Bombyx mori: one gene and its partner. The protein of the gene in region 1 interacts with the protein of each later gene in a pairwise test. Links are inferred from orthologs where the notes say so. Each region holds a gene or a part of one and is shown in the gene's direction. Other genes may lie near its edges. The genes, in order: DNA-directed RNA polymerases I and III subunit RPAC1 and probable DNA-directed RNA polymerases I and III subunit RPAC2.

Evidence for each region.
Region 2: the proteins of DNA-directed RNA polymerases I and III subunit RPAC1 (region 1) and probable DNA-directed RNA polymerases I and III subunit RPAC2 interact in a two-hybrid assay, tested with the Drosophila melanogaster proteins (2 studies listed by BioGRID). The link is inferred for Bombyx mori from reciprocal best matches to the Drosophila melanogaster genes Polr1C and Polr1D.

The regions. Positions count from the first base shown.
Region 1 is NC_085131.1:5,578,576-5,582,514, forward strand, and holds the start of DNA-directed RNA polymerases I and III subunit RPAC1, read left to right. Parts: upstream 1-1,707; 5' UTR 1,708-2,305; coding exon 2,306-2,359; intron 2,360-2,438; coding exon 2,439-2,739; intron 2,740-3,120; coding exon 3,121-3,240; intron 3,241-3,712; coding exon 3,713-3,895; intron 3,896-3,939.
Region 2 is NC_085119.1:4,439,285-4,443,223, reverse strand, and holds the start of probable DNA-directed RNA polymerases I and III subunit RPAC2, read left to right. Parts: upstream 1-1,479; 5' UTR 1,480-3,269; coding exon 3,270-3,284; intron 3,285-3,546; coding exon 3,547-3,647; intron 3,648-3,939. UniProt on the Drosophila melanogaster protein: DNA-dependent RNA polymerase catalyzes the transcription of DNA into RNA using the four ribonucleoside triphosphates as substrates.

The DNA.
Region 1 (3,939 bases):
AAGAAACACCAATATAAAAAATTCAAACTATTCACACAACTTCGCTCTTTGCATTCCCACCAAAAAGTCTCTATTAAATTAAGCCATGTCCCATACCATATTTTCTTGTTAATAAGTCACCGTTAATAGTTGTTAAAGCCTAAGAAAACACTAAATTAACAAAACAAATAATTCACACTTCCCTCCTCGTTCCTCACATTCTTGTCAACAAGTCGTCTTAAAGTTAATAATGTTAGCGTTTCTTAAGTAAATAAAAAAATAATAATAATAATGATTTCTTTTTGTTTCCTTTTGTTGGAGTTTACTCCTTTAGAATCGATTTACATATATAGGCCCGGGGTATGAAAATTATGGGGACCAAAATCGTACTAGCATGTCACACGAAATGCGTTATGCGCCTGATTGGCTCCTGATTGCGTGATGCGTGCGCGCGCCAATCAGGAGCCAACGCGCGGCCGCGTTATCGCAGGTGACGCCGGGCTGCTGCGCCGGCAGTCCGCCACAAAGCCTCGTACTGATCGCGCGTTTCTCTCATTATTGTATTTTCATATATTTGTTAGTCGTTTGTTTTGTGTCTCGTTAATTTGTTAATAATCTGTAGTGTATCGTGTTGTCGTAATATAGAACTATTTCTCGTATTGTTTCGTTTAATTTTTTATATCCAGTAAACTCCAGTCGTGCGTCGGAGCGGACACACACACTTTTTTCATTTCTTTCTGTTTCGATTTACATAAAACAGACACGACTTCACTTACTGTAACAAAAATTAGGATTGTATGGTCTTTGATCCTTTTGCCCAGCGAGTTGTCAATTCAAACAAGTAAAAACCTCTATTTATTTTCCAATACGGTACGGTACCGTACCGTAAAATGGGGCGATTAGGGACAAATTCCAACTTTATGAGCAATTTTAAGGTAGTTGTTGATGTATATAATGCTATATCAGGATCAAAATGATTGAGTCTTGGGGGCATCTTTGTTGTCTAATTTAAAATTATGCAACTAGCATTCCAGTTTAAGCAAAAAATGCAAAAATAGGTGTAATCTCTATTTACCCGAAAATTGCGGTTAATTGGGATGTAATGAGAAATTTGCTAGGGTTGGCACTATTTTTATTTTTATATATAGTTTTAATTTATTTATTTATTTAGTTGCACCAACAAAGTGATCATCAATAAAAAAAAATGAAAAACTGACAAAAGTACATGGCAGACATCACCTCAATTATAGGTGCAATCGACAGTGCTGATATTTCTATCTGGGTTAAGAGATTAGGTGTGTCGGTTATTCCATGGATTAATCAGATGAATACCCCCACTCTGAACAAATATTAAATATTTTATTATGTATTACTTAGACATTTTTGTCCACCTTGAGATTTCATTGATCTTGTTACATGTCTCTGCAAAATCGACTTACTTATATTAAATTGCTTATCTATTTCAAATAAAGACTTATTCCCAATTTCGCTTCGAATAAACCAGATATTTACCAACAAATTCAAAAAATATTGTTATAACTACATAGACAACCCTACAAACCTGTACCTATTTATACTTAGGTCGTTTCCATTTCACGTATTCTCATCCCAATTGACCCCTTTTTCGTTGTTATTTGTACCTAAGACGTCCCCAATAACCCCAAAAACAACAGATTTTTACATGTATTTTTATTTAATCAAATACATTAAAAGCAATAACAACTGAGACTTACCTTTAATATATATGCTGGTTCAAACACTAAATAACGTTTATAAATCATAGTCGTCTTCTATTATTATCAAATAAATAAAAGAGAGCAAAGTTTCTAGCACTAAAATAATGACCACCACAGGAAGTTAATTTGAAACGCGATTTTTTATAAGTTAGCAGCTATTATCATGCATATTCAGAGTTGTTTTGTGAACTTTCAACATTCTACTATTAAACTACAAAAAATGGAAGATTTTGCAACGAATATAAAACTTATATTGAGCGTCGAAAGATTTTCCCGGTTTTTTCCCGATTCGCCTGTCAATCCCTAATCGCCCCATTTTACCGGTACCGTACCTATGTACCTACATAAGTACAAACTTACATTACTTACTACATAGTCAAAGTTTAAATTACCTACTAAAAATTACTTAAAATCACTACTTAAGTGTATAATCTATGATCACTACCTTACGTAAAATCATCGAAATATTTAATTTTGTCAATTATATCTGTATAAAAATATGCGACAAACTTTATATACAGTAAACGTTACTGTATACCTGTGAAATAAGATAAAACCTTATTTACATTAATTAGTAAAATATTGCAAAAATGCCTAAATTCGATGAAAAACCCCGAGTTTTTCTTGAAGAATTCCGTGTTAAGGTTCTCCTTTAAATTGCAAGACTTATTTACAACGATAAAAATGCACATGATCATAACCTAATAATTTTTGCCCGTACAGAATGCACCCGAAGATTACGGATTAGACGATGAAACATGGGACTTCAAAAAGTTTGTGAAGAAGTTTAAGATAGTTGTAGTACGAATGGACAATTTCGAAATGGAATTTGACTTGATTGGGATCCAGCCAGCATTTGCGAACGCATTCCGGAGACTCATGTTAAGTGAAGTTCCTAGTATGGCTATTGAAAAAGTAATGATCAAGAACAACACTTCTATAATACAGGATGAAGTTTTAGCACACAGATTAGGATTGATTCCTCTCAAAGCTGATCCAAGATTGTTTGAATATAAATCTGAAGGTTTGTGTACAAATTATTACAAAGCCGAGACCATATGTGGGCATTCGTTTTGGAAGATGATTGTTTTCTGTGAAATTGGTTGTCTAATTATTTTTTATTTATCAATTACGTAAACTAGTACACTAATAAAACCACAAATATTCATTTTTCTAGTATCCTAAAATTGACAATTTAGAGCTGGAATGCAAGATGTTATTAAATACTCACTTTTATACCTCAATAAACATTTATATCTCATAATCAGTAAAGTTTTCACAGCCTAAAGGATAAGATGCCTGGTCCATTTTTATTATTGTAACTATGATGAAATAAAAAAAGTTAACAGAAAATAAAAGAATTGTTTGAGCAGCTCTTGTAAATAATTTGAAATTTTATTTTCAGAAGACACGGAAGGAACAGAATTCAACACTTTAGAATTTTCACTAAAAGTAAAATGTACCAATAGCAAGTCACAACCAAAAGATTCATATAGAGCTGAAGATTTGTATGAAAATCATAGTAGTGAGTTTTCTGTATATCAATATAATAATGTGTAACAAACAGCCTATTAATGTTTTTAATATAACAGTAGATCGCAGATCAGCATATGGCCCTGGTATTAAGCTTGCTGCAGTGCATAGATATAGGTGATTCACTCACATTAAGATATGGGATTGAAGTTTCCATTCCATAGCAAAACAGCTATCCTTACAAACTGGATTCCTTTGCAGTAGAAATGGACAAGATAAATTATGACTACCAATACCAAACTTATAGAATGTTACTGCCATTTTCTGGTAAATTTTTTAGCCACCTGTAACAACACCATGGTAAGATATAGAGTGGTATTGTTGTATGCTGATAGGACAGAACACAGAGCTGATTTTTTGAACTATGGACTAATCTATGAAATTTATATTTATAGTTTTTTTATATAATGCTAGATGATTTTGTTATTCTTAATACTTAGTTAATTACAAATATGTTTATACAGTTTATTCATCCCATATGAAGTGGCATCCAATTGGCAACCAAGCTACAGTTTATAAAGAAGCTGATGTGGGTCCTGTACATAAGGATATTCTTATATCAAAAATGAGACCTGGCCATGAAATAGACCTTCAAATGATTGCCGTGAAGGGCATAGGAAAGGATCATGCAAAATTTTCACCTGTTGGTTAGTCCCTTCTTATGAATATTTTATAAAATGAGATAAGCTTA
Region 2 (3,939 bases), on another chromosome or scaffold:
ATATGAAGAATACGCTGGTATACTACTCAGACCATGCTTCTGCCCAATCTCCGGTAACCACCTTAGTCGTCCTTTTATGACACGCACACCACGGCTGGTGGTACTATTTCATAGCACCTCAAACACGACCACCTAAAATGTATGTAAATTAAAATCTGACAGGATATAGTTCATATAGGTATCACTATTCACAGCGTACCGGTATTAAATTGATAATGAGGTCGAAGCCACGACGTTTAGGGTTTCGGTAAAACCCTAAAAGGCGAAATTAAAGACTTACTTTTTAAAATTAGTTTACCAAAATCATTTGTTGTATACCTACTTATGTAGGTAATATTTTACATTCGTTCATTCGCGCATTCGTTCGGCGGATAGAGAAAGCTGCGCTCATTTTAATTTTGACTATTTCTAAGCTTAAACAACAGTATTGTTTTATTCTCGAAACAAAACCAAGTATGTACATATTATTTACGATATACCTGGGTTACACGCCCAACGACGTGACGCCGTCTACATAATCGAGGCCGCAACCCGCAAAGTTTAATTTACTCTAAGAAAGATTACTAGCGGAGAACCCTCTCGGAGTAATGATGAGATAAACTCTACTATGTATGTGCGACAAAGGATATAAAGCGAAATTACTTTAGATGTTATGAGCACTTCATTAAATGTTTAGGAAAGCAGGGTGCGGTCGGGGCTTAGGACTTGATACTGTCTTATATTTTGTTAACGTGGCAAACATTAAAATTTTAATTAATAAAGACGCCACTAGATAGTAGTTTAAATTATAGTATTTTTTTTTGTTTCATACGAGTCAAGACATAAATAAAACTACTTTTACGATTTAATCTAGTGTTTTTTATTGTCATTATATAACTTGCCTGACGTCTAAATACACGATTATGAAAACTGTAAAGTGTTCGACTCGTCAGGGATAATAGAATAACATTAAATAAAAAACGAGATTAAGCCGTAAAAGTAGATTTAATTATACTTTAAACTACTATAAATGTTGAATCCAACGAGAATTCCTGGAAGAAAGTTAATGAATGATTTTACTTAGCATTGATTAACATTTAAATGTTTGTAAATTATCTTTTATAAATAAAATGTATAATTCTATTATTCTAGGAATAATCTAAAGTACATTTCAATATAGTCCTACTCCAAACTCAATAACGTATCGGTAATTTAACAGTAACATCATAGTTTTGAGCGCATATTACAAACGTTCTCGTCGAACCCGTCGGCGTCGCTTCCGACGAAGGGCTCGGCGAGTAAATTAACTCACAAACACAGTCCACAGAGTTTCTCGCCGGATCTCCTCAGTGGGTCGCGTTTCCGATCCGGTGTTAGATTCTGTGAAGCACGGATCTTGACAGGGTTCGTGTTAGCAACATCGTCAGGTTTGAGCCCCGTGAGCTCACCTAATAGTCCGGTGAGCCTGACATGGTCTCTCTTAGGTAGGATTAAGTTTTTTTCTTTTTTTGCCACATACCATCCGACTTTAGAATGAACTCCCCTCCACGGTGTTTTCTAAGCGCTATGATATGTCCTTCTTCAAACGAGGCTTGCGGAGATTACTTAATGGTAAGCAGCGGAATGGCTCTGCCCCTGACATTGCTGACGTCCATGAGCGACGGTGACCACTTACGATTAGGTGGGCCATATGCTCGTCTGCCTACAAAGGCAATAAAAAAATAAATAAAAAATAACAACTGTTATAACAATATAGTCACATGAACTGTTGTGACTAATTATTATCACAACCGTGTAATATCCATGTTTAAATGTGCATTTTTTATATGTTGACCTAAAGGTCTTAGTTACTAAGTCATAAAATCCTATAACAAAAAGCATTTTTGATATTTTGTAAAGTTTGTAACAGCGTTGCCAAATGTACGGCAATTGCCGTTTCGTACGGCAATCACGCTTCTAAAAGACAAATTGTACGGCATACGGCAGAGTGGTCATTGCCGTATTCTAAAATACGGCAACAAGAACATTTTTTTTAATTCCTTTTTAGTGCCATACACCTATTAGGTTAAGTCGGCTAACAAGAGCATAAAGTTAAAAAACAATTAATGTATCCAAAGAGATTACAGAACGTGGATACTTTTAGCGTAAACATGAACACATCCAACTTTTATAATAGACAATGTTTCATGTTTGGTACGAGGAATTCCCTATAATCTACAACGCCTGCTCTTTAAATCCTCTCCTCAAGTCGCCTCGCCGCCTCGCTCTTGTTTCATTGCTTGTGCTAGCAAGTGTAGCTTAATTTTAACTTTTGAAAAAGAGCAGTGTAGCGATACGTGAGATAGTGATTAAAATGTGTATAAAAAAGAATCTTCAATGCAGTAAACCTAATCAAAACAAAACAAAGAAACCGCCTCTTAACATATACCATAAATTGAACTTTATTACCAAAACAGTGCATTGTCAGAAAGCATTCAAACTGTGCGAACTTTAAGCCAACCCCCGAAATGAATAATAAAAGGAAAAAACCATCAAATTACGAAAAAAATTAGATTATTGAAACTGAACTTACTTTAGGCAATAATACAAATTTGATGGGAAGAGAGGAGTGAAAAATATATACTGTTTTAATTTCTAGTATAAAATAAATAATAAAATACTTTTAATTGAAATTTGAAATTTTGAATTACTTTGTACGGCAATTTTTATTTAAATACGGTAGATTTTTTTCTCCAGTACGGCAACCCAATGTTTGCCCAGCGGCAACACTGGTTTGTAAGACTTTTTGGCGGGAGCGCGAGGATTGAAGTTGTGTGATTTGTTTTACGCCATAAACCTAAGAGATAGATAAATTTGTTTTATTTTGTCTATTTAGTGTTTCTTCGGGTTTAAATGTGTAATAATGGTGGTTTATTAACAGTTTAATATCTGTGAAAGTGCACAAATGTGCACATGAACATTAAATAAAGCCGCTGGACGTAACTTCTCTGGATCCTCCAAAAAGTCACTGAAAGTCTCAGTAAATGACCACCATTTTACTGAGATTATATTTCATTCCATATCATCTCATCTCATTTCATATGATTACATTTCATAATATAATTTTTCATATAAAAAAATTATAAATAAATGGTTAGGCTGTATGGTATGATATCTTTGCCTTTCCAATTGGAAAAATAAAACTACTACTAGTTTTTTTGTCAAAAACTAACAGAATTGAATACGGTATATACCGATCATAATAATTAAAAAATAATATTACCCAAACAGTCATTGTAAAAAGTAACAGAATGAACATTTCTGAGGTACTGCATAAATACGTTATAAATAAAATTATTTTAATTTAATAAACTAAGCCACTACATAAGTAATACACAAAATCTAACATTCAGTTGTGCATCTTAATTTATAGTATAAAATTATAGACAACTAATTGTTAAAATCATTACTATTCTACCATAATTATAAAAATACCTAATTAAAAGAAACGTTCTAAGTTCTTATACCGACCATGGTACTTACAATTTCTTCTTAAGATATTGAAATGTTTTATTCATGTTATTTCAGCTTCCTGGTGATGACGATTCAGGGCCTACCTGCAGAACATACGTCTTCCGAAATGAAAGCCATACATTAGGGAATTCATTAAAATGTATTATAAACAAATAGTAAGTATATGTACACATATAAGTAACAAACAGCCAAACATTCACAAGAAACTTGTGATATAGCTTATGATATTCCAATTTTAAAACCAAAAAATATGACATCAATTGCACACACTCAACAAATGCTATCTAAAACAAGAAACATTTTAATCTTTTGTTTCTAAATAACATTTAGTGGCTGTTACCTCGCTTCCTACCAATACAAAGTCATGTGGTTTCCTAACTTATAGAAACTATGAAAATTACTGCCTCATTTTAGTTATGAGTGTAATTGAGAAAAGTTTCAGTGGCC